7 linked regions of the Ovis aries genome follow. The protein of the gene in region 3 interacts with the protein of the main gene of each other region in a pairwise test. Links are inferred from orthologs where the notes say so. Each region holds a gene or a part of one and is shown on either strand. Other genes may lie near its edges.

Region 1 (4,573 bases), on a different chromosome or scaffold from region 3:
GCAATCTTGAAGAGACAATAGCTGAACTGAGACCTGAATGACAGGATGGAATCAGCTACACGAAGATCTGGGAGAAGATTGAAGCCACAAGGAAGAGCAAGTGCAAATGCCCTGAGGCAAGAGCAAACCTGGCAAGTCCCTAGCACAATGCTAGTGCAGCTGGAACACAGGAAGAAACTGCTGTTGCCAGACTCCTGGGTACTGATCAAGGCATTTGGATACAAGGTGAGATAGAGGAAGGCAGTGCCTAGACCTCTACTGCCTGGCAAACCTTGAGAAAGGTAGGATTTTATTCTGAATGTGATGAGAGACTTTCAACAAAGGGGTGACACGATCTGACATTTTACAGGATCCCTTTCCCTGTGGGAAAGGGGATGCACCATAAAAAGCCAAAGTGGAAGCAGGAAGACCAGAGGTTTCTGCAGTAGGCAAGGTGAGATACGGTGAGAGTTGGCAAAGGCGGTAGCAGTAGAGATGGGAAGAAGTGGACAAATCTAGAATACATATTGAACACTACCATTCAAGGCACATGTAGGTAAGTTTATGACTAAGGGACCCAAGTGGGTTATTAGTATATTTAGGGTATTCTTTGCTGCTAAGTCACTTCAGTCATCTCTGACTCTGTGTGACCCCATAGATAGCAGCCTACCAGGCTCCGTCCCTGGGATTCTCCAGGCAAGAACTCTGGAGTGGGTTGCCATTTCCTTCTCCAATGCATGAAAGTGAAAAGTGAAAGTGAAGTCGCTCAGTCATGTCCGACCCTCAGCGACCCCATGGACTGCTGCCTTCCAGGCTCCTCCGTCCATGGGATTTTCCAGGCAAGAGTACTGGAGTGGGGTGCCACTGCCTTCTCCGAGGATACTCTTAAGTACTTATCCTTTGAAGCTGAGGTGCAGGGAACCTTGCTTCTCTTTTGGCACCACTAATAAAGCACTGAACTAAAAGCAGGCACACATCCAAGACTCAGTGTTCATAAAGCATATTAAGTGTATAAAGTAAAATCTTTTAGGACCTTACTGCTGGAGGCATGGACAGCTGGTCAACATTTGGGACATACAGGAGCTATGGCAACTAAATCAAATCACCAAGTGAGCAAAAGTTTTTCAAACTTCCATAGTGTTAACTCAGGCTATTCTGTGCCTGTTTTCCCAAGAGTTAAACAAGCAAAGTCTGTTTGTCACACAATGCATACTGATTTCATAAATCTTATAATATCATCATGAGAGATTTGAGAGGAAATCTTTTAAAACCATAATTTTAATCATTATGGTTTGGCAAACACACAGCAAATATTCTATAAAAGTTAAGGTCCAAGAGTATCTATAAAAATTGTAATGTTACTCAAAAATGAAGTGCTAATATGTGAAAAAGTAGGTTACAGAAGAACATGAGGTATGATACCATTTCTGTATAAAATATCTAAATGCAAAAAAGTCTGGAAGGATATAAACCACTGCTGACATTCTGGTGGTCTCTGGATGGCAAGAATATCGATGACATTTCTTCTTTTTTTCATTTATCTGCTTTAATCAACATTTTCTCCAATTATCACAAATTATTTCATACAAACAAAAATATTTCGGTATAGGTTAGCTTAAAAAATAAAAAAAGAGAAAGAACTTCAAGAAAACATAACTTCATTTGTTTCGATCAGCAGCATTCCAACTGTGGTATTAAGAAAAAAAGATCTCGATTGCACACGCTGAAGGAAGAAACCTGCTAGGAAGAGGTCCATTTTATACCACACAAGGACATAATATACCCTTCAAGGGAGTAGTTCAAATTCCTAAGACCTCTTCCTGGATTTGATAAATGACAATCAATTTAATACATAGCTCTCTTTCTTGCCTTTTGCTAAAGAAACACCTCAATTTAATGAATTCTCTGGAGGGGGAAAAAAAAAAAACTTTAAAAAACTAAGGACAAAACAGAGGTTTGGTCTTCTGGTCTCATTCATCCGGTGGAAAGGCGCGGAGGGTGGCAGGGCTCGAAGCAGGCTACCCCAGAAGAATCTGCGTGGCGGGTCATCTAAAGTGGAAGGGAACACAAACCTGCAGGCTCCACAGACTGGGCAGTGAGAACGCCTCCTAAGGGGCTCAAGACTTCCCCTGGAAGGGCTTACGCCGTCCAAGTTATTCTACGCTGCCAACGGTTTCTGACAAAACACAGTAACTGGAAGATCTCTTTAAACGTGGGTATTACGTGCAGGAAGCTCATCCGACTTTCTCTATGCAAAGCCAAGACATTCTCCTAAGGCCACATCCTCGATTCTGTAAACTAGGGCAACTGAAAACACCCTATTGACGCTCTCCAGCTAACGAACATCACTGTGGCTAAAATCCTAATACACACACGAACTGACACTTCGGAAAACTGGCTCTAATGGTAACACGGGACTTCGGGTACTCCGGTAACCAGTTTATCGCACTTTATCTGTTCCAATAAAGGGTACCACCTCTTTACTGTCAGCTCTGGTTCCATGTACTGAACAAACAGAAAAAGGGAATCCTTTAAATTCACAACACTATAAGGGCTAAAAGCTCCCGCTTTCTGGATGGCAGCTTTCTAGTCTCATCAATCACAACAAAGGACGCATCCCGGTGACTACATCAGAATCGGCAAGGGCTGAGAAACAGAGGTAAATGATTTAGTGAAGATTGCAAGGTTTGTGAGGGATTCCTTCCAGCTACGACTCACTCACTCTTCTTTTTACTCCATTATACGCCTCCACCCGAGTTGACTGCTTGCCCTAAAAATAAAACCACCCGTGGCTACCGTCCACTTCCCTGCCAAGTCCCGACTCTGGTCTCCTGCAGAGAAAGCCAAATCTCAGGCTCTTCGCCGGAGGACGCGGGCTCGACAGCAGCGGGCTTCTCCCGATGCAGAGTCGCCAGCCCGGTTGGGGACCCCTTGAGCCCGAGAAGCAGCCCCGCACTGCCGCAGCCGCCGCAGCCCGCCAGAGCCCCCAGGAAAAATCCGGGCGAGGGGAAGGTGGGCCGGCAAACGGCGGTGGGAGAAATGGGAGACACTCACCCGCCCAGACAACAACCGACGGGGCGGGGAGGATGGGGGCCCGGACTAAGCCTCGGCAGAAAGACCGCCTGGAGCTTCCGGAACGCTGCGGCTGCTCGGGAAGCCGCTGCCGCCGCCGCTCCTGGCCGCCGGCTTCCTCCCCTCCTCTGTTTTGATTCGACTGACCACGTCACTCTAAGCCACGAGACCCGGATCTGCCGGCTCCCGCGGGCGGCGGCGCAACAGATTGCAGCGGCTCAATACCCAGGCAGCCGCCCTGCCGAGCATGCGCACGCCCCGCGCCTGCCCAGTGGGTCCGGAGGGGCGGGGCGGCCGCGAGCGTCACGCGGTTCGAGGGGGCACGGAACGCCGGAGTTGCAGTTCCGGTTGGGAGGGGTGGGGCGCAACGTTGTGTGATGGAGAGGGCGAGGCCCCGCGTTTGTTGAAGTGGCCCGCGTAGGTTCTGTTTCGTGTGTCGTAGACAGTGTGTCTCCCTTTGCCTAAGCTGATGGCTTTCCTCAGCTGGAGTGTTTAGAATAGCGGGGGTAGTGGTGCCTAAGCTGATGGCTTTCCTCAGCTGGAAGCTTTAGAATAGCGGGGGTAGTGGTGCCTAAGCTGATGGCTTTCCTCAGCTGGAGGCTTTAGAATAGCGGGGGTAGTGGTAGGTGGGGGCGCAAGGTGGTGTCTGATGAGACTTGTAGAGATTGTTTTGGATCACTCAGGCCCAGGTGAAAATTGGAGATCGAGGTTTGGTCTTATATAAACAAAAGTATGACAGACGTGGCAGTTATTGATCCCCTGTCCCGGAGGCAAACTGCGCTCGGAAAGCTGGCTGCATTCAGTTCAAGAGGAGTGTTACGGGAATGCAGGACTGATAGAGCGATAATGGGGAACTGGGAGAGGAAAGCTATTGTTAGGCAGTCAGCTCTAACCTTTGTTGCTTTGATCTTCGGGACTGAAATAAGGATGATACTTATGGTGTGAGAACCTCATTTCTTTCTAAACCAAGGTGATGCTTCCTACTCTCTCATTCTGGCCTTCTTAGGTCTCCCCATTGAACAACAGGCCCGAGAAGTTTCCCACTTTGGGAAAACTTCGGGCTACTCTTGTTTTCTTAGGTCCATGAATGGACAGGCTTTAATTAAAGCGAGACTAGTGGTTAAATGAAAAGTGTCAGTTCCAAAGATTTTACAGAGGTGCTTATTTGCCTATCGTGCAGGAGAGGTGAAAGTTAGCTCTAAGGAACTGCCTTCCTTATTCTGAGTTGACCTTTTCGCCTAACCTGGACTTCTACCTCAGTGTCTGGTTTATCACCTCGACTAGCTGAGTCACTTTCAGTGAATTAGTATAATCTGTGAGAGCTGCTTTTTTTTTTTTTAATAGTATATTTAACCTGATTTATCCAAAATATTATGAGGCTTCCCAGGTGGCTCAGTGGTAAGAACCCACGTGCCAGTGTAGGAGACTTGAGAGGCCGGTTGGATCCCTGAGTCCAGAAGGTCCCCTGAAGGAGAGCATGGCAACCCATTCCAATATTCTTGGCTGGAGAATCCCACGGACA
Region 2 (4,112 bases), on a different chromosome or scaffold from region 3:
CATTGCAAATCTCCACCAAGAAACCCCCACTCCTTGATGGAGGGAGTGGAGAGCTGTGGGGATGAGAGTGGGCAGGGGTCAGGACCAGGCCTACTGGACCTCTCGCTTTTGGGTTCTCTGTGGGACCCAGAGACATCTCTCTATCCCTTCGGATTTCTGAGTCCTTGTCTGAGGAATGAAGTGTTGATGAACATATTCGCAGTGCCCTGGCATCCGTGACTTAGTCTGCCGCTAACAACATGAAGCATTCAATACCTGGCACATAGCAAAGCATGCTTTTTTGTATTGTTTGTTTACAGTTATATCCAGTTAAACCAACTTGGATATTTGCATTCTAAGAACTCTGTAATAGTATAATCCTTCCCTGGAAGATAGAACCATCTATGCTATAACAGTCTAGTCACTTTGTTAACAGTTTTATGCTAAACTCATTGCTTGAATTTTGAAAGTGGTGTTTTTAAAATGTTTGCATTTTTTGGCTTAACTTTGGTTTTTGATTTGAACTATTTCAACCAGTGAGTTCCTGGATTGACTCTTATGCCCTTCAGTCAGTTGTTGTAATTTACACTGGGATTGGACTTCACATTCATGGAAGGACGACTGGGGCATCAGACCCCAGGCTTCTCCTTTGCTGTACCTGAAGGCAGGGTCACTTTGTGATGTATGTTTTGTTTTTTAACCACGTAGACAAGAGGAGCAAATGCGGAAGGTGACAACTTGCCTATCTTTCTATGACGTTTTACTGTGGTTTGACTCCCCCACTATTGTCCCAAGTCTAGAGTCTTAACAGGTAGCTCTGTTCTGAGAGGAATTTTGATAGTTTAAACTAACACACTAACAGTAGGCTTCAGTTGGGTTGTTATTGTTGTTGTTGTGTATGTGTGTGTGTGTGTATGCATATGCGGGAAATGGGAGGACAAAAAAGGATGATTTAAAAGGAGGATAGCAAGGACTTCCCTTGTGGTCCAGTGGCTAAGACTCCACAGTTCCAATGCTGGGGACTGGAGGTTCACCCCTAGCCGGGGAACTAGGATCCCACGTGCCGAGTGGCACAGTGAAAAAATAAAATTAATAAAAGGAGCACAGCAAGAGAATGGGTGGGACCCTGCTTAATGGTGTGAACCAGAATCAGTTTCAGCAGTTATCTTTAAAGAGGGAATGATCATATTGTCTTGATTAGAGTTCTGGAAATAGCTTGTAGCTGAAGTAATACATGTGTCCCTCCTCTTCCCAATAACTTTGAAATTTTAAAAATCACATTTGCTATGAATTGCTCCAGAAGCACACAGGACATTGAATATTGTCCCTACCAGAAAAAGAATGGAACATTTTACATGCTGATGGTTGAAGTGTGTAATAGAAAAGCTTTAGGGTTTGACAGCCAATTTACAACTAAAGCCATAAATAGTTTTAAATCTGGATTTCTCAACCTAAGCCCTACTGACATTTTGTACTGGAAATTCTTTGTTATGGAAGCTGTCCTGTACATTGTAGCAACCTGTTCCCAGGGAGGACAACCCAAAATGTCCCTAGACATTGATTGAAGAGCCTTATCATCTCTGGCTGAGAACTGCTGGTTTAAATAGAAAGGAAATGAAGCAGTTAAGAAAATCTATCCTTGCTTAGAGAAGGGGCTCTTTCTCGAAGAAATTCACCTTGAATTCCCAGATCCTTTCTGTCCTTCATCCCTTGCCTTTTCCCACTCTAACTACAGCTGCTTTTTAAATTAATAGGTTTGCAATTGTGTGTTTAATTGAACTTTTTCATTAGCAGAGATCTAGTTCATGTTTTTACTTTTTTTTTTTCATATAGAAATTGTTTTCACTAAACACTTCCTTTTCTTCCTTATGAAGCTCCTAGTTTCCGAATGGAACCAGTGACAGCCCTGGGCATCCTCTCCCTTATTCTCAACATCATGTGCGCTGCCCTGAACCTCATTCGCGGAATTCACCTCGCAGAACATTCTTTACAGGTAACCTTTTCTGTACAGTTTAAATAGAAAGACACGCAATGGAAGGAGCAGATGTGGGTGCATATTATTTATAAGGTTATTATTCACTATGTTTTAAAAATTGAAGTAAAATTCTTACTTCTTGTTTTATTCTTCATAGTGAGTTGAGCAAATAAGAAACTTGCTCTTTTGTATTTGTTTTGCTGAGAAGCCAAAGGGGCTGCTGGAATACTGGTGAGAAATGGACAACTTGCTACAAGGACAGCCGGCCACCCTGTGGCCCTGGGGACACCGAGAGTCCCTGCAGGGGCTGGATTGTTCATCCCAGGCAAAGTTTGACTCTCAGAGTTTAAGATTCAGGCCCTTTTTCCCCTGGTAGAGTTGTCTCATAATCTGATTTATATCATTCAGATGGATACCAGCCTTCCCGTGTCTTTGTCAAAAGAACTGTATCACTATGAAGTTGATTTGCCAGCCTGCTCATCTCAAAGCAGCTTTTTATTCTAATGCTTTTTACTTATTATTTTTAAATTTTGAAGTATTTCAAGCACTTAAAAACAAGCATGGAACCATTATGAGCATGAACAGATAGATGTTAACTTTAAAAACAGAATTGGGGATAAGTAGATGCTAACTATTACATTTAGAATGGATAGACAAGATCCTACTGTTTAGCACGGGGAACTGTATCCAATCTCCCGAGATAAACCATAATGGAAAAGAAGATAAAAAAGAATATATGTGTGTGTGTAACTGAGTCACTTTGCTGTATAGCAGAAATTAACACAACACTGTAAATCAACTATCCTTCAATTTGAAAAAAAGCCAGAGTCACACCCAAGCCCATGGTAGCTAAAATCTGAAGTGCAGCTGAGGTTGAATCTCAGGGGCCTTACAGAGACCAAGGTGTTTGGGGAATGGCAGCATCCTGGGCCCTGAGTGGTGGCTGGCTATTTCCACACCCCATCTTTGGCCAACATGTGCTATGGTTCCCACTCTTATTGTTTATGATAACTCATAAGCAGATACTTACCAAATGTCTGTATGCACTGGAACAGGGGTTCGTTGCTCAAGACGTAGTGCCTCAGGGCACATAGCAGAGTATGGTGACATCACTAGGAGGTGGGAGGACCTGGGGAAAGTTAGTACTGACAGATGAGTTGGATTTTGAGAGGTTGGCGGGGCTGGGGGTGGGGACATTCCAGGTTGCGGGCTCAGCACACATGCATGGGAACTGGACGTGCTTGGTGTGTCCAGGCCATTCAGAAGGATTTTATGTCACCCCCTGGTCTGATACGTGAACAGGGGCTGGTTTCTCACCCAGGCGGGGATTTTGTACTGTTGGTTATACCAGACCCAATGCAGAGTAATGCACTTCATGTCACAGTGTTCATCCCCTCTAACTATTCCTTTTCTTGTGTTCCTCTTATTTGTCTTAGGTTGCACATGAAGAAATTGGAAATATTCTGGCTTTTCTGATTCCTTTTGTAGCCTGCATTTTCCAGGTAGGTGAAATGTTGATGTTTTAGTGAGTGGGTTAAACCCATTACCTTATTTTGCTCTGTTGGAACGATCAGTGAATTTCCAGATCCTGCTTTTGTTCCACCAAGACATTGGTTCACATCATGGACAGTCCCAGCCCTTAGCAGAACAACTTTCCACCCATCCTGTCCACTCCTCTCATTGTACAGAGAGAAGACTTTTGGGCCCAGACAGGGAAAGTCATTTGCCCTAGGTCTCAGGGACTTTGACAGTGCAGGACAGAAACTAGAAACTGGGACTGGGCTCCCAAGAAGTGAGGGATGAGACTGCAGTGGGGATTGGGTTGGGCCTGACCAGTGTGAGGCAGAGCCCTGCCTTGTGCTTATTGCTGGGCATCCAAGTCCAGAAATGTCTTTCTGCAGAACTGATGCCTAGGTATATATGTTTTTTTTTCAGTCACAGGACTGGGAAAAAAATTGTTGTTTCTAATAGAAATACCATCTGGGTCAAATCTGTCCTTAGGAAATGAAACAAAAATTATAATACTAACTAGAGTGCTTTGATTATTAGTTATTTTTGGGTAAGCTGTGTACTTAAGGGCTGGAGTAGGAAGGAGGTTTTGAATCCCCTATGAAAACGTAGCAGTGACAGTGTTAGTTGCTTGCTCGTGTCTGACTCT
Region 3 (4,729 bases):
AGTCCCTTGGACTGCAAGGAGATCCAACCAGTTCATCCTAAAGGAGATCAGTCCTGGGTGTTCTTTGGAAGGACTGATGCTAAAGCTGAAACTCCAATACTTTGGCCACCTGATGTGAAGAGCTGACTCATTTGAAAAGACCCTGATGTTGCGAAAGACTGAAGGCAGGAGGAGAAGGGGACAATAGAGGATGGGATGGTTGGATGGCATCACTGACTCAATGGACATGAGTTTGGGTAACCTTCAGGAGTTGGTGATGGACAGGGAGGCCTGGCGTGCTGTGGTTCATGGGGTCACAAAGAGTCGGACACGACTGAGCGACTGAACTGAACTGAACTGAATGCAACAACATGGCCACCATTTTCTCTACAACATTCCCTCATATGGTTAGTATAATTTTAAAAATTCATTACAGAGGAACAAAATGTAACTCGGCTGATTTTCTAGAACATCAGGTCTTCCTGCCTCTCCAGTCAATTTGCCTTCCCTCTACCTCCTATAACCTTTGCAACAGTAAAACAACCATGTTTCTAAAATTGCCAGCATCTGCAGCAAAAGTAGCTTACTTATCAGATGGGCTACAAAACATGAGACTCACATGATTGCCTGGAACACTCAGGTCTCCCTCCTCTCCAAAGGTGTTGCCCTTTCCCAGTAAACGTGCAGTGGTTTAACAACTATGTTTCTAAAATTTTCTGTCACCCAAGATGAATGTAGTTAAAAGAATTGGCTACAGAAGGATGATGGGATTCATGTGATTCCCAAGAAGAGTCAGGACTTTCTCTTCTCCAAAATGACTGCCTTTTCTCAGTATCTTTTGCAACAGTATAGCCACCATTTTTTCTAGAACATTCCCTCACTCATATAGAATGTAACTTAAAGGATTGGCTACAAAATGCTCAGATTCAATTGACTGGATTTCCTAGTAGCCAGAGAGCATAGGCATTTCACTTGCCTTACCCTAGTCCCAGCCCTAAGATAGATATAGATACATGTATATCTATATTTATATATGCTTAGAGATATATATACAACCCTGTATATTCATTGGAAGGATGGTTGCTGAAGCTACAGTACTTTGGCCATCTGATGCAAAGAGCCAACTCACTGGAAAAGACCCTGATGTTGGGAAAGATTAAACGGAAAAGGAGAAGGGGGCAGCAGAGGATTAGATGGTTAGATAGCATCACTGACTCAATTGACATTTATTAGAGCAAATTCTGGGAGATAGTGGAGGAGAGGGAAGCCTGGCATGCTGCAGTCCATGGGGATTCAAAAAGTCAGACATAACTTAGAGACTAAACAGCAACTATATATATATATATATATATATATATATATATATATATATATAATGATTTTTATACTTTTGCATATTTCTATATAGAAATATATATAGAGAGTAGACATAACATATAGATATATACATATATACATATAGAGATTCAAATATAGATATATTTACTAATTTATTAATAAAAGAAAGTAGATATGTACTCCACAAGCAATGTGTGTTTCAGACATTCTGGACCCTCAAGGTTGAACTAACAAAGAATGGCCATGATCTCTTGCCAGACCTTGTTGCCCTCATTTGCCTGCCCAGAACACAGGAGCTTTGTCCTTCCCCCAAAGTCAACATCTGCCCTGCTTGACCTACCATCTCCATACCAGAGCTGCTACAACTGTAGCAAACTCCCCCAAACTCAAGCTAGCCACCAAATGCCATACAGTACCACCTTCTTGGACTGGTTTGCAGCCATATTCCAAACCGCAGCAGAGCCAACAGCCTTTGGATCCACCTTCTGTCGCCGCTGAGAAGCACCCAGCAACCGAGATATATGCTCCTTCATTTCTAGGGAGAAGAACAGAGGCCCAAGGAATACCCATAGAGGCTATCCCAAGGTTTCATGGGCACAGAACACACCAAAAAATAGGATAGGGTCCCCCAACATCTTAGGAAGCACTCAACACCCATTCTCTGGCATCTACTGGCTAATCTCAGGTCTCAATTTCTTCATGTACTCAAAATATAGTAAGTGTTTACTGAGTGTCAAGCTCTGGGCTAGGTTCTTAAAGAGCAAGCAATGGCCAAGAAATAAGATCACAGCAATAAAAAATTGATTGTTTGTGTGTGTACAGAGAAAGTGGTAACGAGAGTGGGGGTTATAGGAAATAATCCATCAGTGCAAATCAAGAGATGCATGCTCCCAAAACAATAAAAACAGGATAACAAGACAGAAGGAAGGGGATACTTCTAGAAAAGTCAGAGACAACACTGAGGCAGAGACCTGAAAGAGAAAGAGTCCAGCCATAGAAAATCTGAGGAAAGAGGGAACACATAGTGAAAAGGCTGTGAAGAAGAAAGAGTCTTGGGATGTTACAGGACAGGCTTAAAGGCACTGTGGACTGAGTCAGCATGCCACAGCAGGAAGTATATTGAGGAGGTGACCTTATGTGGATCTTGTAGATCATGGAAAGGAGCTTTACTCTAAAGGGCAGAAGAAGGTACTGGAAGGTTAGGAGAGAGAATTGCTTTGAATGATCTTATAAATTGAACCCACTGAGTGTTTTGCATTAAGATCCACTGGTGGCTTGCAATGGGAGGGGTGTTCATCCAACCTTCCCCGTCACACGCTACAAAAGGCTCACTTTTATCAATCCCATTACCTCACACACAGGTACCCACAAATACATGCAAACACACATTCATGCTTCTGCCAAGCCAAACCTGCGCATTTTCTAACATGCATGCACAGGTGTAGATACCCAAGGGAAGGGACATTACGGGGGATCCTCACCTGCTGCCACTGAGCGCTCTTGGTTATCCCTAAAGCTTCCAAGAAGCAGGTCTTCATCCTTTGGCACTTGCATCTTTTCCTTGAGGTTAGGGACTGCTCCTCCTGCCATCACCACCAATTGTAAGCAATGGCCAAGAAGGCACAGGGTCCAAGGCTCGGAGGAGGCTTGGGAAATCAGCTCTCTGCGGAAGATATATCTGGACACAGGGGTGGAGCCAGACTCCCACTTTGAGTTCAAGCATTAGACCCAGCACCTCCTGTTCCTGCTGTATCTTGCTGGCTGGGTTCAAGGTCTTCTTCTCTGCTACTCTGTAAGCAACTTAGGAGAAGCGATAGACTCTGAATCTTTGCCTGGGAAAGCTGCCCTGGCTCTCAGCTCATCCGATTTGACCTCATTTCTAGATAGAGGGAGGGGCTGGCACAGGACTCCAGAGTTGGTCAGTGGCCAAAGCAGGTTTAGATCCCACCGTGGTTTCTGCAAGGCCAGCTTTGGTTAACAGTCCAGGCCATAGCCCCCTTCAGAAAGCATCCTCTACAGAGCACATCCTGCCTTACCCCATCCAGAATTCCCAGGCAAGGGACATGACTTTTGACACCCTGGATCATCCTGGACAGGAACCATGAAAACCAAAGGAGAGATGTGCAGAAGAGGGGCCTGCTTACTGGAGCCTCCAGTGTCCCCAGCCCTGCACCCCCTATTCTAAGTCAAATTTTCCCTCAGCTTCCCTACTGAATAGACCTCAGTGGTCATGTTTATGGTCCATGTGGCTAGCCTAAGGTCTCCAGTTATTCCATCACGTGCTGGTCTAGATGTTTCTATCAAGGCACTTTTTGTAGCTGTTGATGTCTATAATCAGTGGACTTTAAGTAAAGGACATTGTGTATCCTTGATACTGTGAATGGGCCTCATTCAATCAGCTGTAGGCCTTAAGAACAAAGACTGAGGTTTCCCAGAGAAGAAATTCTGCTCAAGACTACACCTCAACCCCTCCCTAACATTCCAACCTGCTGACTTGTCCTGCAAATTTTGGCCTTGCTAGCTCTATGATGGCATGAGCCAAATTCTTTAAATAAAATTTTCTTTACACACACATATATGCATAGTGAGTCAGTGGTAAAAAAAAATCCACCTGCCAGTTCAGGAAACCCAGATTTGATCCCTGGGTTGAGAAGATCCCTTGGAGAATGGAATGGCAACCCACTCCAGTATTCTTGTCTGGGAAATCCCATGGCCAGAGGAGCCTGGTGGGCTACAGTCCATGGGGTTGCAAAGAGTCAGATATGACTCAGTGAGTGAGTGCAACAATACATATACATACACATACATACCTCCTATTGGTTCCATTTCTCTGGAGAACTCTGACTCATACAGCCACCGAAGGTGAACCCTCAGCTCTTGGGAATAGCCTCAGAGCTCCTGAGGAAGAGGAGGCTATTTGTAAAGAAACCAAGCACAATTGGGGCCAGGTGGGAGGGAGAGGAGGACAGGGGGAGGGGGAGGAGAGGAAGGGAGGAAGGAAAAAGTGAGGGAGAAGAAAGTGAGGGGCCAACTCCCTTAGAGAGGGCGGCTGATCTGGGTTGCCTAACCCCCTCCCTGGTCCCACCTGTCCAGTGCTAGGAACAAGCTCTCTAGAACAGAGCTTACAAAGGCCCTGCCTGCATTCCTGAGGGCCCAGGAGAAGCCCTTTCCAGCTCTGGTGGAGCAGCTGTGATGAAATCTGAGCTTTCTGAAGGGTCACCTTAGGAGAAAGAAGTGTGCTCTGTGGGACTTACGAGCCTGCAAAGCAGGAACCAGCCATAGGTTTCTGGCAGGCCTGGGTTGCCAGATTGAACAGAGAAAAACATAGGATGCCCACTGGCTTTGAATTTCAAATAAGCAATGCTTTTTTTTTTCTTTTTTAGCATAAGTAAGCAACATGTGGGCTTCCCTG
Region 4 (4,112 bases), on a different chromosome or scaffold from region 3:
GATGTTCTGGGCCTGGGGGCGATTCTGGATTTGCATTCTCAGGGCTGGGCTCATCTGAAGACCCGTGACTGCTGGGGGTCCTTCCAGCAGCTGCTCTGTCTCTCCCCCTACCTGGCCTATTTCCTTCCCGCAGGAAAGGTGCTTGGACAGAGGGGGCGGTGCTGCCAGTGGAGTCAGGCAGGGCCACCGGCAGAAGAGCATGCGTCCCCCGCCCTCTTCCTGTTGCACCATATTCCAAAATAAATAAATAAATGAACACATGTTCCTGTTTGTCTGTTGCTAATGCTCTGGCATTCTGGGCACTGGCCATTAATCCACCAGGATCCATGCGGAGACAGCCTTGAGGGTCAGGATCTTCGGAGCATCCACTGGGAATGGGTCAGCGGTGCCCCATTTGTCCCAAGCTCTACACAGTGCTGTGAAAACGATATGAAAGGGTGAAAACAAAGGGAATCCATAAATCCCAGGGCTTCGTGGCGTCATTGGCTATGACTTACACTGTAACAGCCTCACACAGGTGTATCTCCACCTGTGTGTCCACCCTGGCCAGCCTTGCTCCTCTGTGCCCGCACACGACTGGCCCAGGCTCCTCGTGCGCCCGGGGAAGCTCATAGGTGGTTGCTCTTGGAGAGGTAGGCGATGAGGGCCACGGCCACGCCCACGTAGATGCCGGTCCCTATGGTGATGGAGAGCACAGCCAGGAAGAGGGCCCGCCGGGAGCTGGTGCTGGCCTGGTGGAAGTCCCCCTTGGCCACAGCTTTGTTCGTCTGCAGAGGGAGGAGGGAGAAGAGAAAGGGAGCCAAGATGAGCGAGGGGAACAGAGAGGGGACTGGCTGATGGGAGGCCATGAGTGCTCCCAGCCTATGGGAGGGGAGGCAGAGGTGCTGTCACTCACCACCGTCCCCTCTCCCCCTCACCTCTGCCCTGCAAGGCAGGCAAAGCTTAAGAGAAAGAAAGCGAAGCCCCAGGGATGTCCAGACCGGCAGTGGTCAGCTGAGCACCAGCCACTGGAGTCCTGGGTCTCGGGCACCAGGGTGGAGGGTGGGGACGTTACAAGTTGGTGCCTCCTTCTGCCCAGTAGACACTCGAATGATAGTTCTACAGGGTGTTCACACTCACCTCCTCTAGTCCTTACAGCATAGGGGCCCACAGGGAAGGAAACTGTAGTTCTTATACCTGGAGAGGAACCTGCCATCTAAGCTTGTCCAGTCCACTGAGGACACTGAGACTTCATTCCTCAGCCAGTGGCTGAGGATCTGTGTGCCCCACGTCCCCTTCCCGCCATGGAGGGGGTGGTAAATTCACCTACTGGAGAAATGACTCTGGGTGAGACCAACACCTCTATTTCTGGTCACCCAGTTGCACAACGACACGCTGGTTTCACTAGGTTCCCGATCTGTGGGGTCATGAGTTGGAGGGGAGCATGGAGGCTTTGGATGTCGTGTTGGATTTGATGCTTTGTGGGGTGCCCACCTCCCCACCGCCAGCCCCGTCCTCCTTGTCCCCTTGACAAGGGAGGCACTGGGCTGTGGGGACTGTACGTGATTCAACTGTGACATCATGGAGGGCCAGCTCTCTGAGTGATGGCAGGTGAGGGTGGAGGCCCCCCAGGGCGGGTGCCCCTGGAGCCCCAGGGGATGGCCAGGAGGGCTGACCCCAGGCAGGGGGCAGGGGTGTTCTCATCAAGGCAAAGGTGGAGCCTGCTCCCCAGGTGGGACATCTCGACTCCCTCAGGACCCATCTCCAGAGACCGGCCTCTTACCAGATCCCACTTCTGTGTGTGTTACATGTACGTCTACATTTTGTGGGCAGGATGGGAGGTGGCACACTGTTTACTCAAACAGCAAACTTGATGTGGTCAGAGGGCAGACTCAGAGGTCACTAGGAAATGGCTTTCTGCCCTCTGTGGTCCTCCCGCACCCACTCAGTGAGATGTCGGCTGGAAAAGGGACTCCTTATTTCTCTAACTTCTGGTTCTTGAGTTTTTATGTCTTCTTTCTCAATCTGGGGTCTTGGAAGTGGGCCTGGGGACTCCCTGTGGGTGATCTTTGATGAAGTGGAGTGAAGGCAACACAGTGGGAAGCTGCCAGGACAAGAGTGACCCTCTCGGGACTCTTGGTGGCAAGCCATCCCTGCTGGCATGTCTCACCCCTAAGGGGAAGACCCCACGGGGGCAGGCAGGGGTGGGGACAGACCACTGTCCCAAGAATGGCTCAGGTTTGCCCCACAGAGTACATCATAAAAGAACAGAGATACATGCCACCCCCAGAATGGCTCCAAGGGAAAGAGACAGCGGAAACCCACACTCTCATTTGATCCTGTTGAAAGTGTGAATTCCTGTAGATGGAGAAGAAAACAGATGAGAAGTTGAGCCTATTGTCATTAAATTGATTAAGGAGGAGTAGGCTTGTGGGCTGATTAGACTACTTGGGAAATGGAGCACTTGTTATAGCTGGATGTATAGACACACGCACGACACAGGTGTTACCCGCTCCTCTGCTGTCCCCGGCAAGCGCTCAAGGGAAATGATGCATTTGTGCACCAAAGACACCTTCAAGAATGTCTGTAGCCACACCGACTGTTGTAGCCCTGACCTGGAAGTCATCCCAACATCCAACCACAGCCGAAGAATAGATAGCAATGGTACCTGATGCAGTGGGCTTCCTAGGCGGCTCAGTGGTAAAGAAATCTGCCTGCCAAGGCAGGGGAGCTCTGTTGTGATGGAGGCGCTTAAGTCTGTGCCACCAAGCCTGGTGGCCACAGTGATGGAGGTGGTTAAGTTTGCGCCACCCAGCCTGGTGGCCACAAGTCACCTGTAGCTTCAGAGCAGTGGGGTTGTGGTGAGTGTGACTGTGAGTTTTTAATATCATCTGATTTAAATTAATTAAAATGTAAATAGCCAAACGTTAGAGGCCACCATGTTGGGTAGCAGACACCCAGAAGAAATGAGCAGAGGGTCCCACGGGGAGCAGGGAGGAGAGGAAGCTCAAAGGAAGGGGGCAGGATGAACCCAAAGGAGGTGGAAACCCCGGAGGGTTGGTTCAGGCATCAGTGCTGGGGAGCTGTGGTGGGGGGTGTCCCGCAACCAGAAACTGTTCCACATACACACCTGCCTCTGCATTTACCTGTGAATTTGTTTTGGTGGCTCAGTGTCAGGCGGAGATAATGAAACAGAGGCAAGATAAAGGAGGCTGGGGTGACCCTGTGAGGGGGGAAGGCCCATGAAATCTGCAGATGATGGGAGCCTTAGGACTGGGGCATGGAATGAGCATCCCGGCCGAGGCCCAATGGCCTTGCTCCCAGATGGAATCTCTCAGGGGCTGATGCTGGTCTCCAGGTCTCGTGACACGTGGCAAAGCCCAGAGCTCCATCCCTGCTGGGGGATACCTCCCCCGAGCCCCCTACCCCTGGGAGACGATGCTCCCAGGGTCTGGCACTGGACTGATTTTCCCACAAGCTTTTGCCAGAGTCCTCATTTCCTTTGGCTAAGAAATATCTACTGTTGTTTGAGGTTCAGGAAAAACATGACTTTCTCTGCAATATATCCCTGCTTTGGTTTTCTTTCTTTCTTTTTTTGATCACATGGGTTGGGGGATCTTAGCTCCACGACCAGGGATCAAACCTGGGCCCTGGCAACGAAAGCATGGAGTCCTAAGCGCTGGACCACCAAGAAGTTCCCATTGCTTTATTTTTCTTATGGTATTTTGTATTTTTATTATTAATGTTATTTCTATGGTCTCTTATTTTAGGGGCAAGAACCGCTGAGGTTGGATGAGTCCACATCCACGTGGCTCTCTGCTTGGGTTGAGGGGCCGGGTCCAGGCACAGCTGGGGCAGACTGGGCAGGACACAAGGCTGGTGCCAGACTCCCACCTCCAAGGAGCGCAAGGGACACACTCTCTGCCTCCCAACCACCTCTCTGGAAATTTAGAGAACGCTGGGCACTTTATGGCTCATTTTTCCTCTAGCGCCATATCTGTTGGGCTGGATTACATTTCCTTGCATTATCGCAAAGCTGATTTCCTTTCTTTATTACTGTCTCCTGCTCGCTGTGCGCCAACGGGCACTTGGAGCTGTGTGGGGGGAGGAGGTGATTGTGTGGCGGTTTAACA
Region 5 (4,577 bases), on a different chromosome or scaffold from region 3:
GTGTGTTTCTTCCCAGTGTTACCTCCTAGGGCAGCAGATGGGCGGTGTGAGTCTGCTCTAACCCAACAGCCCCAAAGGCTGCCCTCCATGCCTGGCGCAGGCCTGGTGAGATCGGCTCTCCAGGAGAATTCCTGAGTTCTTTCCTGCACTGACGTTTCTTTAGGCCATATCTGCTTAAAAGTATAAAGGCTGAATTCCCAACCCCTCCAGAAACCCCCAAGGATGCCGCAGACTCAGAACATGGATGCCCTTCAGCATTTGTCCTGGATGGGCCCAAAGGGAGTGAGGAGAAAGCTCCACCAGGATTTGACAGCCACAAGGCCACACTTCCGCTTTGAAGTGACACCTGGCTGGCAGCTGTGCTCCAGTCTTTTCCCCCTCCCTCTCTCTCTGAAACCTCCAAAATGGGAAACGTCCTTTAAAATAGTAAGAAGAGAAGACAGGCTGCCCTCCTGGGGGGCCCACGGCGGGGCCGCTGTCCTTAGCCCAACTTGACACCAAATCCTGACCACTTTGAGGTCAGCCTCAACTCCTGGATTGAGTTTTGTCTGACCCAGTGATTAAGTGGCCCCCTCACACTCATTTCAGTCCCTTACACTCAAGTAAAGGCAGACACAGCTGTCGGGTGAGGGCAGCAAGTGTTTATTGAGAAAGGGGAACTCACACTGCGGGGCCCAGTGTGGCAGCCGGTCAGAGCATCCGAGTGCCCGGGGACAGATGCTGGAACCCTCTGTCTGCAGGGAGGCACCCGCCCAAGTCCAGGGTGAGTCCTGCGGCTTCTTGGGAGCTGGGGAGATGAAGGACGGGCCTCCTGGGGTCGCTGGCAGCAGGAAGGGGTGAGCGCGACAGCACCGTGCTCCCCATGCTTTGGTGAGTGTTGAAATTGAAGATGCGGACGCGTGACTCAGCACAGCCACCAAGACGGCAGAGCGCAAAGGTCCGGGATTCTTTGGAGAGGAGCCAGAGGGTTCGGCTTGGAGAAGGTATTTCTCAGCAGGCAATGGCGACTGTAGGGACCAAAGGTAACGGGCCGCCGAGACGAGAGTGGCCTCTGGGCGTCTCTCCCAGGGCGCAGAGCAGGGAGGCCACTTCCCTTTCCGAGCCCGGGTCGGCGTGGCAGGTCCATCTCGCAGGACGTTTACTGCGCTGGAGACAAAGCTCAGGTGCGCACTGGGCGGAGCAGGAGGAGAGCGGGTCTCCGGAGCCGAGCCGGGGGTTGGGGGGGGTGGACGCTGGAAGAGCTGAGATTTTGGGAAAGCTCGTGAGGGAGACCCCGGGAGGCCCCGCGCACCCGGCGGAGCAGTCCGCTGCGCTCGGGGAGGTGGGGAGGTAGGCGGCGGTGGGGAGCGGCCCGCTTCGCTTCCCTGCGCCACCCGCAGCCCGCCGGCCGAGCAGCTACGGGCCGACAGCCTTGGGGGCGCTCGCCGTCTGGGCTCGGCCGCCCGCGCGGGCCGGGCTCCTGAACGGGGAGCCGTCGTCGCCGGAGAGTGATGACGCCGAGCTGCTCCAGCGCGCCGGGCGGTCGGCGCGCCCGCAGGCCCCGCGCTGCCGCAGCTGCGCGCGGAACGAGCGGTCGAGCAGCAGGTAGATGAGCGGGTTGGCGCAGCTGTTGACGAAGGCCAGGCAGGTGGCGACGGTGAGGCCCCAGCGCAGCGCCAGCAGCAAGTGGCAGGGCAGCGGCAGCGCGCCCAGGCTCGCCAGGTGGAAGACGGCGCGCAGGGCGCAGAAGGGCAGCCAGGAGCCCACGAAGGCGCCCTCGACGGCCAAGATGATGCGCAGCGAGCGGCTCCGCGCGCGGCCCAGGTGCGGCGGCCCGCGCAGGCGGCGCGACACGCGGCAGTAGCAGACGACGGTGACGGCCAGGGGCAGCACCAGGGTCAGCAGCAGCAGCAGCAGGCTCAGGCCCTGGAAGGCGTCCGACGGCTCCTCCCCGCACTGGCTGCCGTGGCCCCCGCCGGGCAGCGGCCGCAGGCGGCGGAAGGCCAGCGACGGCAGGCCGGCGGCCAGCGCCGCGGCCCACACGCCCGCGCAGGCGGCCAGCGCGCAGCGCCGGGAGCGCGGGGAGCGCGCGGCCAGCGGGCGGCCCACGGCCAGGTAGCGGTCCACGCTGAGGCCGGCCAGCAGCAGGGCGCCCGCGCAGCGCGTGCCGGCCAGCGCGAAGCTGCTGAGCTTACACAGGCCCTCGCCGAAGGGCCAGCGGCCACCCCGCGCCGCCGCCGCGGCCCACAGCGGCAGCGTGAGCAGGAAGCCCAGGTCGGCGGCCGCCAGGTGCTGCACGAAGGTGTCCACGAGCCGCCGCGGGCCGCGCGCCCCGGACAGCAGCCACAGCACGAAGGCGTTGCCCGGCAGGCCCACGGCGAAGGCCGCCAGGTAGAGCGCAGGGATGTAGGCGTGGCTGTAGGGCAGGTCCCGCGCCGCACACAGCTCCTCCAGCTCCAGCTCGCCCGGTGCGCCCGACCCCGAGTAATAGTCCCAGGGCGCCGTCCCCGCGCTGGGGCTCCAGGGCTCCGTGGGGCTCATGGCCGGAGACGCCCGGTGGCGGTAGCGGGGCCAAGAGGGAAGGTGGCTCTTCACGGCCCGTGCCCAGCCCAGCACCTCCCTTCCTGCCGCCGCGGGCCGAGGCGAATGGGTGGGCAGGAAGGGGTGGGGGCGGGGGAGGGGCAGGTGCCTGGGAAGAGAGGGGGGCGAGATTCGCGGTGGGGCGGAGGGCCGGGGAGGTGGCTTCCCAGCTGGGTCTTTGGAAGAAAAGCTCCCGGCTGGATCTGCGCCCTGCCTCCCGTGGGAGCCTGACCTGTCCCTCATCAGTCACTGGTTTTATTGAACTAGGAGTGTCAACGGTTTCAGGGCCCGGAGGCCCGGTAGAACAGGCGCTCAGAGCCTCAGTCCCTCTCACCCCTTCTTGGCTACCGGCTACTGTCTGTCTCTCTCTTAGGATTTTCCCCAAGGAGGTGCCAGCTGCCAAGATTCCCCTGGCCTCTTTGCAGAGCCGGCGCGTGGAGGGAGCCTGCCCTTGGGGGCCTCCCTACAGTCAGGGGCTGAATACCAGACTCTCCGATGCCGTTAGCTCCCTGAGCTGCTGGGTCTGGTGTCTTAGCCCAGGGTGGCATTTCTGACCAGCTCAGGTTCTCAGGGAGCCACGGGGAGGGTTTGCACCTGAAGAGGGAGGGTCAGCCTGTCCAGATGAGGCAGCAAAGCCTGGAATCTAGACCCCAGCCCTTCCCCACCTTCCTTCCTGGGCAGAACCTACCTAACGGAGCCTATGGGTGCTAGGCCCGGAGCGCAAGATGGAGCAGGACTCAGCGGCAGAGGCGTTGTCCTCAACCAGGAGTCGGGAGTTTCAGAGGAGGACGGGATCCCTTGTGGACTGAGAGGCAGGAAGGATTCAGAGAGAAGGGTGGGCATGTAGCCTGGCCTTGGAGGCGGCGGTGGGCCAGGGACAGGATGGGGGCAGGGTTCCCGAGGATGCTGGGCATTGTCGGGCCTCAGCTCCTCTTGGCACGTCCTCCCGCGAGCTGCTGCAGTGAGCTGTGACAGTGAGTCCTCCACAGAGCCGTGCCTCATTGTCACCAGGAGTGGATGAGCGGTTGGGTCATCTGGCGTTAAAAATTCGAGGAGGGTTATTTTTCCATTTTATTCCGTACAGCCCTGTTACAGCAACCGCCTCCGTGTGGCAGGCCCCGTTTTGGGTGTCACAGGAGATGCCGGTTTTGACCTTGGAGGGTCACTAATCAGGCCCCAGAGACAGATCTGTATGTCCCATGTGCAGTGGCCGGCGTGCCAGAGGTCACACGTCCTGGTGTGAAGGTTAATGAAGTCCCCCTGGAGCTCGGAGGAGGGGGCAGCCCCTCTGACTGAGGAGGAAGTCCTGGGTCTTTCCTGGCACCCGAGGTGGGGACTGAGAGGCCCCTGGACACGCGGAGGGGGCAGAGCCCACCTGCACCCTCAGGGCAAGTTAGTGCCAAGCTGTGGAGGGACACGCAGAGGCCACAGCGGAGCCCCGCGGTAGGCTGCTGTTGCGTGTGCAGGGGACGGGGAGTGTCAGACAGGGGACCGGCAGTGGGGACAGAGAGGAGTGACCCATCTCAGAGGCCCGAGGCGCGGGGCTCTCGTAGTCGAGCAGGCGGGCAGGCCTGGGCGGCCGGCGAGAAACGACGCAGGCACCGTCCGCCCATCAGTCCACTGAGGCCGGGGCCGCAGAGAGGCGTGTGTGTTGCGTTCTGTTCTGTGTTGATTGGAGTGGGGTGACGGAATAATTTGCAATCCACGCCAGGCCCTTCTGAGGGCGAAAGCAGCCTTAACGACCGTTGACCTGGGCCATCAGGCTGGCCTGGGCTGAGCAGACGGGGACATCACGTCTCCCTAGCTACAGCCCCTCTGTCTGCGAGACACCCGGGGGAAGAAAATGCCAAGGGGCAGGTGGGGTGTGAGCACACTGTCCCCAGGAGGGGTTACTGCACGACGGGAAAGGCAGGCGAGGGCTGAGGCAGGGGTCAGGAGGCCTTTGGCCTGCCCTCCCCACCCCCAGGCCTGGGTCTTCCCTGAAGACCCCCACTCGCAGGGTGGAGACCGGTGGGCTG
Region 6 (4,112 bases), on a different chromosome or scaffold from region 3:
GGCCATTTTATTTTTGGAAATCATAGTTCTTTAACTTTTTTTGTATTGCTTAATTCACAGAGGACCTAATCGCAGTACAATGTACATCTACAATTTGCAGATCCTGTTGACAACACTGTCCTTGACAGATAGTTACCACTATATTAACTAAAGCAACTCTCTGGGGGCCAATGTTTTTTGCTGTTGAACACATAAATTATTCCCCAAACATTATAATACCAGATAGAAAGTGGTTAACAAGTCAATGGTTACTTCTCATTTGATCAGTTTCATAAAGCAGAAAATTATTTGATAATATTCCAAAGTGTACATGCAAAAGTCTATTTTAAATTGACATTAGCCAAAGCACAAGCACCAGTGATTAGGTATAATTTACAGTTTAAGGTTGCATTTTAGCTGATTTTTCATGATGTAATGATTTTCAAAATTTTAGTATCACAGTCCTTACCAAAAGATGGGGGAAGGGGAAACCTACTGTATGTTAGTTGTCTGTTTCCAAGACAAAGTTGTTAACGGAAAATATCCTTCCAGGAAATGACTACAGCAGCATTAAAGAAAGAAGAGACAAAACACATAGGCAGAAAACTATTTCAGTATCTTTATAAAATATTGTTTACTACTGGATTGCTTATTGAACCAGTAAAATGGGGAAGAAAAAAGAACAAAAGATAAAGTAAATTAAGAATCTTACTCTTTACTGCGGATAACATACCTAGTGCTAAACTTTTGCTTGGAAGCAAAAGACACTTAAAAGATGAAATATGCATATATAAGTTATTCCCAACTACAAAGATACTAGACAGCAATTATCTAACTAAAGGAAGCATGCAATGCAAAACACATGCCAATTCCTTTCAATTCCAAATAGCTAATGATAACAAATCTAAGAGTGGAGTCAAGGAGACTACATTAGTTCAAGTTGGTCGTTTACAAAGTGCAGCACTATCAGATGAACCCACTGAAAAAAAAACCCTCAAAAACACACCTCAAAACCATCCCTATAGAACTCCCTCTCTGCAAATTCTTAACTACTTTTAAGAATTCCCTGAAATATGTTTTTCAGTGCTTTCCCTCTTATTTAATCCACTGAATAAAAGAACGCTGTAATTATCAAGCAATATTTGGGAGCAAAATGGAAAAACATAATTTTATAGCACTGGGCAATTAAAAAAAATAATAAAGCCACAGGTAATCTACTATAAACAGTTTGGAAAGCCATAATATTCAACGTTAGCCAATTTTTATATCTTTACAACCTATACATGAACTTTAGAATTGATAACATCTCATTTCAAAAAAATCCCTTAATCACTGATTTTAGTTGGTTTCATGATCAAGTGAAAATGCCACTGTGCATATACATGAACACAAACAATCATTAATAAAGGTCAGGTAAAATCAACGAAACACCTACCTTCCCACTCAAATTCATTACTGTCATCCGATGGTGTATCTAGGTCATCTAAGTCAATCTCCCCACTTTCATCCAAATCATCTGACAACACAGAGCCATCACTAGGATCCAGAGTTAGGCTAATGTCGGGAGCCATTAGTTTCTTTCTCACTTTATTGCCATTAACTTCTAGCGAGCCTGGAATGGGTTAAAAAGAAAAATCAAAGATATATTTAGAAAAGATGCTTAGATGCATAAATCGAATAAGAGAACTTTAATCACTTTATTCTTGAGAAAATAACATTCATTAAACAATTCCAAAGCCCTTACGTACAAACTTTGGACTTTGATCACTACTGTTTCTGTATCACAGCAAGCTGACACATCCCAGCAAGGACATACTTTTTTAAATAACAGAAGCAAAACTTCCAGTCACTGTTTACTACTAAAAATCATCTTCCCTCTCTCCTTCATGATCAAAATTTCTAAAACCCAAGGGTATGTTTTTGCAAAGTATTCCAAAGCATTCCAAAAATGCTTTCCTAAACAGTTAACTTACCCTTTGGCACCCTATGATGGAACAAAAACTGAGTATATTTTATATCTTGACAAAGTGTGTTAAAAAGAAATACCACAGATAAAAGTCTATTTCTAAGTGTCAAGTTCTTACCAGGCTGACTCTCTGGTCCAGTTACAGCTAATACATCTGCTTCAATACTATCATCTTCTGGTAAAGGTCTAAAACACACAGACATAATTTTTAACCCAGAAATTAAAAAAAAAAAAATCTTTTGACATTCAAAGATCTATTAAAATAGCTTATAGAAACAATTATGTAGAAAACAATGTTTCTTAAGCTTGAGTAATTTACAAACTACTGTTAAAGAAAAATTTCAAACTGTCTCAATTGATTTACATATCTATATAAGTAACACATAAAAGTAGGTATATATTCCCTATGTAACAGCTCTTGAATACAACTACAAAACAAATTTTAAAAATCATTACTTTACAAAATGAATATGCTTCAAATGCATGAATTTAATGGAATGTACAATACAATGTACGATGAAGCTAAACTGTCACTTAAAATGGGAATATGCACATGATGATTATGTTTTTGAGCTCAGCACTTCTGTACCACGATTATCATGCTGTGCTATGCAATGACTCAGTACTCACCAGCTGTTCCTATTCCAACTGCTAAGTAACCTTCTTATGCACTGAGATGGTCTTCTGACCAAAATGGCACAGAAGTATCCCTTAAATATACGGTCTGCCTTTGCTCTCTCTCTCTTACCCTAACTAGTGCCGACAGAATCGTAAACACAAACACAAATGTGTCACGGTAGCTCACCAGATAATATAGAAAGCTTTCCTTGTCTAACTTAACAAGTTTTTGTCTTAAAATAAAAGCATAAAATTTAATAATTCCTGCAGGCTTCTAAAGACCATCTTCCTCTAGAAATTCTGAAGACTCTATTATTAGTACTAAATGAACATTTTGCAACACTGGGTTTCTTTAAGAAGTCCAATCAATATTCATTTAGTAAGTGACACCTCAGTAAAGAAGTAGTGAAGTTCTGTTTTGAATCTGTTTTCATTTAAAAACGTTGCTCACATTGGAAAATCTTCATCTTGCCATTCTTCCTTAAGTTCTACACCTTCCATCCTCAGTCTGGACTCAATGTCAACTACAAACTCCTGATAATCGAGAGTGCCAAAATCCTGTTAAAAAAAAAAAAGAAAAGAGAGAGCAAGAAAAAATTTCATAGGCTTATTTTCCACATTATCTGTTGAAAAGATGCAATAATCTTATATTTGAGTTCACACTTCCACCCCGATCATGAAATAAATTTAGTGGGTTGCAACTACTCCTTTCCATTCCCCTCCCCCCGCCCCAAGAATTAGAAGAGTCAGAATACATATATTCTAGAAATTACCGTTTGTGATAAGGGTGCTGTGCAGTGAAGTACTTATTCCACACGTATACATGCATGTGTGTGTCCAGGACATGATTCACCATTTATTAGGTACTGTGAATTATGGAAAAGCAATTTGGGGGCTGAGGAGCACAAACAATAAAAGTAAATAAATATATTCTCTATTCTAGACCCATCATCAAATTTTCTGTCCTTTGGAGAGAGGTTAATTCTGGAAATTGAACACTAGTAACTAGCATTTATACTCTTAATTCAGCAGAGCCCACGTGGTGTGCTGTCTCTAATATTTACTTCTCCATAATTCCAATGCCACAATTTCTGAGCCGCTTAAAGAGGGCTATTCAGTACCTGTTCAGTAAATGAATTTTGCCATATTTTTATTTGTTTCATATCTATACCAAGCTTTTCTCATGTACTTTAGCATGAGTTTTCAGACACTGACCGTAGTGAATATTTCTATTCATGCCACTACATGTTTTAACTTAGTTTCAGTTTTTCTAAGGAAGGATATGGGTGTTACTATCCTCAGTTTACAAAATGACGGATCTAGAGTTTGGCAAGGTTGATGGAATATGAAAGAGAGGTTTAAATATATTTAAGAAATCATTAGGTCAACTGGTTAACATTACAACAAAAACTATGGTACCTTGAGGGGGCAGGAGGTATAAATGGAATATCTGATTCACTTACATTAGAGTAAATCAGTAGATGACTAAACTTAACTTAAAAAATGAAGTAACTCCTGAGAAATCTGTATGCAGGTCAAGAAGCAACAG
Region 7 (4,013 bases), on a different chromosome or scaffold from region 3:
ACCCCAGGTGTAAAAACAAACTGCTCAAAATCTGTTGTCAAGTTACAGCTCAAAGCTATTGTATCCTTTGGGTTATTTTCACATTCACAGTTTTCCAGGCTTTTCTTTCCAAATCCCCTTCAATTTCTGAGCCCAAAGACCATCTGTAGCTCCTCTCCGGCCAACTTCCAAGTTTGGGTTACACACATCTATGACATTCAGAACCTCGGTTAACTCCTCTGAACCTTTTGGCTGGTCCTGGGACTGATTACCCAGGTCGCGTTTATCTTCTACTTTCGCCCTTCAGATATAAAATGTAATATGACAAAGGCAATACACGCTTGTTTTTAGTAACAATGGTGTACCCCGGGGAGAATCAGCGTCACTCTGTCACTCTGTACTTTAGGAACTACTTTTCCTCGTCTTTTTTTTTTTTTTTTTTTGATCAGAATCCTGACGCTTGCTGGCTGACGTTGGTCAGGAGAAGATGCCCTCCCTGAAGCCTAGCCAAGCCGTCTCTTCCTTTCATTAGCGGTGTAACCCTGTGTTCCCACCGGAGCCCTGCACGGAAGTGTAATCTTCCCGCGGGGGCCTCCCGTTTTCTCGCCTGGCTCACAGCGCTGAGCCTAAATGAAATATAAAATATTAACTGAAAGGGAAAACAAAGGATGCTGCCTCCAGGACGGGTCCAGGGCCTGAGACTTGGCCAGGGCACTCGTCCCTGGGCCTCTCTGTCTCGCTCCCCCCCCCCCCCCCCCCCCCCCCCCCCCCCCCCCCCCCCCCGCCCCTCCGTTGTGCCTGCGTAGGATCCGCGAGTTGAATCGCAGCTCGCCAAAGCGAATTCCACTTAGGACTGGTAACCTGACCCCTCAGCGTCGCCCGTTCCCTTCTGCCCAGAGAGTAGAATGATCACCAGGAGGCCAGGAAAAAAAACACTTAAACGTTGCATTTATTAAGGAAATTTTAAATAAGAAAAAAAGAAAAGTCAAAACGGTGTCACCAATGTCAAGAGCACTTTTGTGGTGTAAACCGTGCAGTCACGAGCTAGGAGTTCTATCCCGGATCTTTGCCCGGGGCCAGCTAGAGTGCCAGTCCCCGTCCCCCCCCCCGCCCCCGCCCCAGACCCAGTTGGAAATGCAATAAAAGAATTGTCACCCCATTCACATTCGCAGGCTCCCCTTCCACCACCCCTTCCCCTAACACAAAACTCTAACCCCCAGGCAGGGAAACAGGCCACTAGGGCGGAAAAAGACTTATCAAATACTTGTATTCAAGCAAACAAACACAAAACCCTTTAAAACGTCACGTTACAATCAATCAAAGGTATTTATCGCCTGTCCTGCCGGGGCTACAAGGAGCTGGAGGGAATGCGCGCGAACCCGGAGACGGTTTGCGTGTCCCCGATAGTTCGGTTAAGTGGCATATATGCGGGTCACTTTTCCGGTCACCAGGCAATAGGTGCCGTTGGTCTCCGCCTGCCCACCCTCTCCACCTGCACCCCCGAGCTTGGCCCACCTGCGGGTGGAAAAGGGCCTTGGCCTGGGTCGGTGTCCCCGCATTCTGCGCTAGCGGCAGCTTCCAAAGTTCTGCGCCCTAATCGCCTTCTCTTGCCACTTGCTGCTGAGTCCAGAGTCAAGGCTCTTTTTTCCTACTGCCAGGCCTGGGGACTTTCAGAGGGCGAGCGATAAACGGGTTCGCTTCATCCCGAAAGGCAAGAGTCGAGAGAAAAAACTGACTCCGACAGGTTTGCTTCGCCCAGTCGCGCATGGTGAGAGGGCGCGGCCGGGCTGGCGAGGTGGGGAGGCGAGGGGCGGCTGCCGCGGGGGCCGGGGGCCGGTCAGTAGGGCCCCACGACCACCGCCTCCACCTCCTTAGACGGTCTCCGGTCCTTCACCAGGAAATTGATCATGCCCTCGGACTTGATGAGAAGGTTGCAGCCCAGGAAGAAAATGCCGAAGACCACGGTGAGCGAGAGCACGCACATGACGGCGATCTGAACCACGCGCATGATGTACAGGCTGCGCTCGTCCGGGCCGCCCTCCGCGAAGCCGTCGTCGGTCACCACGGACGCCTGGGTGCAGCAGCGCACGGCGCGCTCCAGCGCCTCGCTGCTGTTGGCCAGGAACAGGCCGGCCACGTCGGTCTGGTTGCCCAGCGCCGGATTCATCGCGGGAGCGGGCGGGCGGCTCGGGAGGCGAGGGTCCGAGGGGTGGGAAGGCGGTAGCGCGGCAGAAACAGGTGAGCTGAGCGCTCACTTGTGGACTCGCGCGCGCGGGGACCGCTCGCTCGCTTCTTTCCAAAGTCCCCGGCTGGTGAGAGTTTCGCCGGAGCCTTCTCGCCGCGCGCCTCAGTCTGGCTGGTCTGCGCCGTGTGCTTCTGCCCGGGCGGTGCTCGTTCCCGGCGCTCGCTCGACTAGGGGCTGTTGGAACTTGGCGGGGCTGGGCCAGCCGGGCCGTGGGAGGTGCGGACGGCGGCGGTAGGACAACTGCTCTGAGCCCAGAGCGGCCCCTTCTGGCCGCACCGCTGCTCTGCGCCCGCCGCCGCTGGGCGGTGGGGGAAAGGAATGGGGCGAACCTCTTATTTTTCCTTGCTTCGCCACTTTTCCAGCTCCAAGGATAGGCAGAGATCGCTTTTCTGGCTTGATGGATGATTGAAGAGTTTCGGGTGGGGAAGGGTTGCGACCAACGGAAAGTTTCTTAAAAACTGGGTCACACAAGCTCTGCGTGTCCTTGGCCTCCCGCCTCCCTCACCTCCGGGAGGTGGAAAGTGGCGATGAATCGCAGGTGGCAGATGGTGTCAGCGAATACATGGGCCCGCCGCCTGTTCCTGACTTTGTCTCGCTTGCGACGAGCCGGGAGGGAAGGAAGGAGAGAAAAGAAAGAAAAGAGGGAGAGAGGAAAGGATTGGAAAACAGAGTAAGGCAGATTTTCTAGAGACTCTTGGGCAAAAGAAAAGGGTTTAGGGAAGGAAGGGTTCTTCTGTGGCCTTTGTGGTTGCCAAGAACAGGGTCACCTCCTTGGTAAGGGAGGGAAGGTGGACAGAATGGCTACCCTTGTAATCTCAATTGCAAATGAGTTTTTGGATGTGCTTCCAATGTTTTTCTCTGCTGGCAGTAAATCAGTTGTTTAAGGAATTGCTCATCAGGACCCATCACCTAGAACACTGGCCAACTCCTGGAAGATCTCCCCATTTTCCGTAAGCTGATATATTTCTCCCTAGTCATTTTAAACGAAGCTACAGATGTTTTAAGGGCCTGATTGAGACTTCAGTCCATTATAATTCCTCTTCTGGTTTCAGTGAAATGTTACAAACCTGTCAGATTGTTTATTGAGCCCTAGAAGAGTACTTCAGTTGTTTTTTTTTAATCTTTCCTACTCTTTTTCTTCCCTTCACTTCTTCCTCTCTCCCTTCCTTTTTTCTTTCTTTCAACTGTAACAGCTGAAACCAATAACTTGAAGGCCAGTTCAAACTTTTCATAGAATACATTTATTAAATTTCTGTTAAAATGCAGTAGCCATTTTCAGCTCTATTCTCAACTCCATTATATTTGCTTGTTAAACCCTCTGATTTTTGTCTCCTCAAACATTATTTATTCCATGTTCAAAGCTTTCCTTAAATGTTTTGTGCTACTTTGTGACCACAATAAAATAGAGTGAACTGTATTTTAGTGAAGAGTTTCCAACTCTGGGATGTTGATTGTATACCAGCTTCAATAAGTTTAGATGCTTCTAAGTAGCTAATTTTATTTTGGAGGCGAAGACCTAGGCTTCTCGGCCTCATCCATAATTCATCTGGTTTATTGCTCTAATTTCCCATGGTTATAATTGCCCTGAAGAATGCTCCAGTCCCAATAATTTCTTATTTGGACAAATTTATTATTTATTGATTGGAAAAAATTATTTGAATCTCACTATACATTCAGCCTGTCTTAGTTAATATGGGTGATACTTAACAGCAAAACGTAATGCGTATGTGAAAAATTAGAGAAGAACTTAAGATAATATAAAGCAAATACCACAATGAATGGTGGAGGC

What was found.
Region 1: the proteins of FATE1 (region 3) and SMIM14 interact in binary tests that used the Homo sapiens proteins (3 or more experiments, as listed by UniProt). The two-hybrid records come from large-scale screens. The link is inferred for Ovis aries from reciprocal best matches to the Homo sapiens genes FATE1 and SMIM14.
Region 2: the proteins of FATE1 (region 3) and SEC22C interact in binary tests that used the Homo sapiens proteins (3 or more experiments, as listed by UniProt). The two-hybrid records come from large-scale screens. The link is inferred for Ovis aries from reciprocal best matches to the Homo sapiens genes FATE1 and SEC22C.
Region 4: the proteins of FATE1 (region 3) and SYNDIG1 interact in binary tests that used the Homo sapiens proteins (3 or more experiments, as listed by UniProt). The two-hybrid records come from large-scale screens. The link is inferred for Ovis aries from reciprocal best matches to the Homo sapiens genes FATE1 and SYNDIG1.
Region 5: the proteins of FATE1 (region 3) and GPR25 interact in binary tests that used the Homo sapiens proteins (3 or more experiments, as listed by UniProt). The two-hybrid records come from large-scale screens. The link is inferred for Ovis aries from reciprocal best matches to the Homo sapiens genes FATE1 and GPR25.
Region 6: the proteins of FATE1 (region 3) and BNIP2 interact in binary tests that used the Homo sapiens proteins (3 or more experiments, as listed by UniProt). The two-hybrid records come from large-scale screens. The link is inferred for Ovis aries from reciprocal best matches to the Homo sapiens genes FATE1 and BNIP2.
Region 7: the proteins of FATE1 (region 3) and RPRM interact in binary tests that used the Homo sapiens proteins (3 or more experiments, as listed by UniProt). The two-hybrid records come from large-scale screens. The link is inferred for Ovis aries from reciprocal best matches to the Homo sapiens genes FATE1 and RPRM.

The regions. Positions count from the first base shown.
Region 1 is NC_056059.1:59,422,892-59,427,464, forward strand, and holds the start of SMIM14 (small integral membrane protein 14), read right to left. Parts: upstream 3,257-4,573; 5' UTR 3,034-3,256; exon of another isoform or gene 1-3,033.
Region 2 is NC_056072.1:14,701,410-14,705,521, reverse strand, and holds part of SEC22C (vesicle-trafficking protein SEC22c), read left to right. Parts: intron 1-1,853; coding exon 1,854-1,972; intron 1,973-3,390; coding exon 3,391-3,456; intron 3,457-4,112. UniProt on the Homo sapiens protein: May be involved in vesicle transport between the ER and the Golgi complex.
Region 3 is NC_056080.1:84,015,729-84,020,457, forward strand, and holds the start of FATE1 (fetal and adult testis-expressed transcript protein), read right to left. Parts: upstream 2,967-4,729; 5' UTR 2,908-2,966; coding exon 2,799-2,907; intron 1,853-2,798; coding exon 1,737-1,852; intron 1-1,736. UniProt on the Homo sapiens protein: Involved in the regulation of endoplasmic reticulum (ER)-mitochondria coupling. Negatively regulates the ER-mitochondria distance and Ca(2+) transfer from ER to mitochondria possibly implicating it in the regulation of apoptosis.
Region 4 is NC_056066.1:42,085,004-42,089,115, reverse strand, and holds part of SYNDIG1 (synapse differentiation-inducing gene protein 1), read right to left. Parts: intron 768-4,112; coding exon 609-767; 3' UTR 1-608. UniProt on the Homo sapiens protein: May regulate AMPA receptor content at nascent synapses, and have a role in postsynaptic development and maturation.
Region 5 is NC_056065.1:78,882,780-78,887,356, reverse strand, and holds GPR25 (probable G-protein coupled receptor 25), read right to left. Parts: upstream 2,600-4,577; 5' UTR 2,521-2,599; coding exon 1,396-2,520; 3' UTR 622-1,395; downstream 1-621. UniProt on the Homo sapiens protein: Orphan receptor.
Region 6 is NC_056060.1:48,740,508-48,744,619, reverse strand, and holds part of BNIP2 (BCL2/adenovirus E1B 19 kDa protein-interacting protein 2), read right to left. Parts: intron 3,459-4,112; exon of another isoform or gene 3,337-3,458; intron 3,122-3,336; 5' UTR 3,065-3,121; coding exon 3,015-3,064; exon of another isoform or gene 2,998-3,014; coding exon of another isoform or gene 2,954-2,997; intron 2,132-2,953; coding exon 2,064-2,131; intron 1,592-2,063; coding exon 1,415-1,591; intron 1-1,414.
Region 7 is NC_056055.1:156,127,566-156,131,578, reverse strand, and holds RPRM (protein reprimo), read right to left. Parts: upstream 2,345-4,013; 5' UTR 2,147-2,344; coding exon 1,817-2,146; 3' UTR 911-1,816; downstream 1-910. UniProt on the Homo sapiens protein: May be involved in the regulation of p53-dependent G2 arrest of the cell cycle. Seems to induce cell cycle arrest by inhibiting CDK1 activity and nuclear translocation of the CDC2 cyclin B1 complex.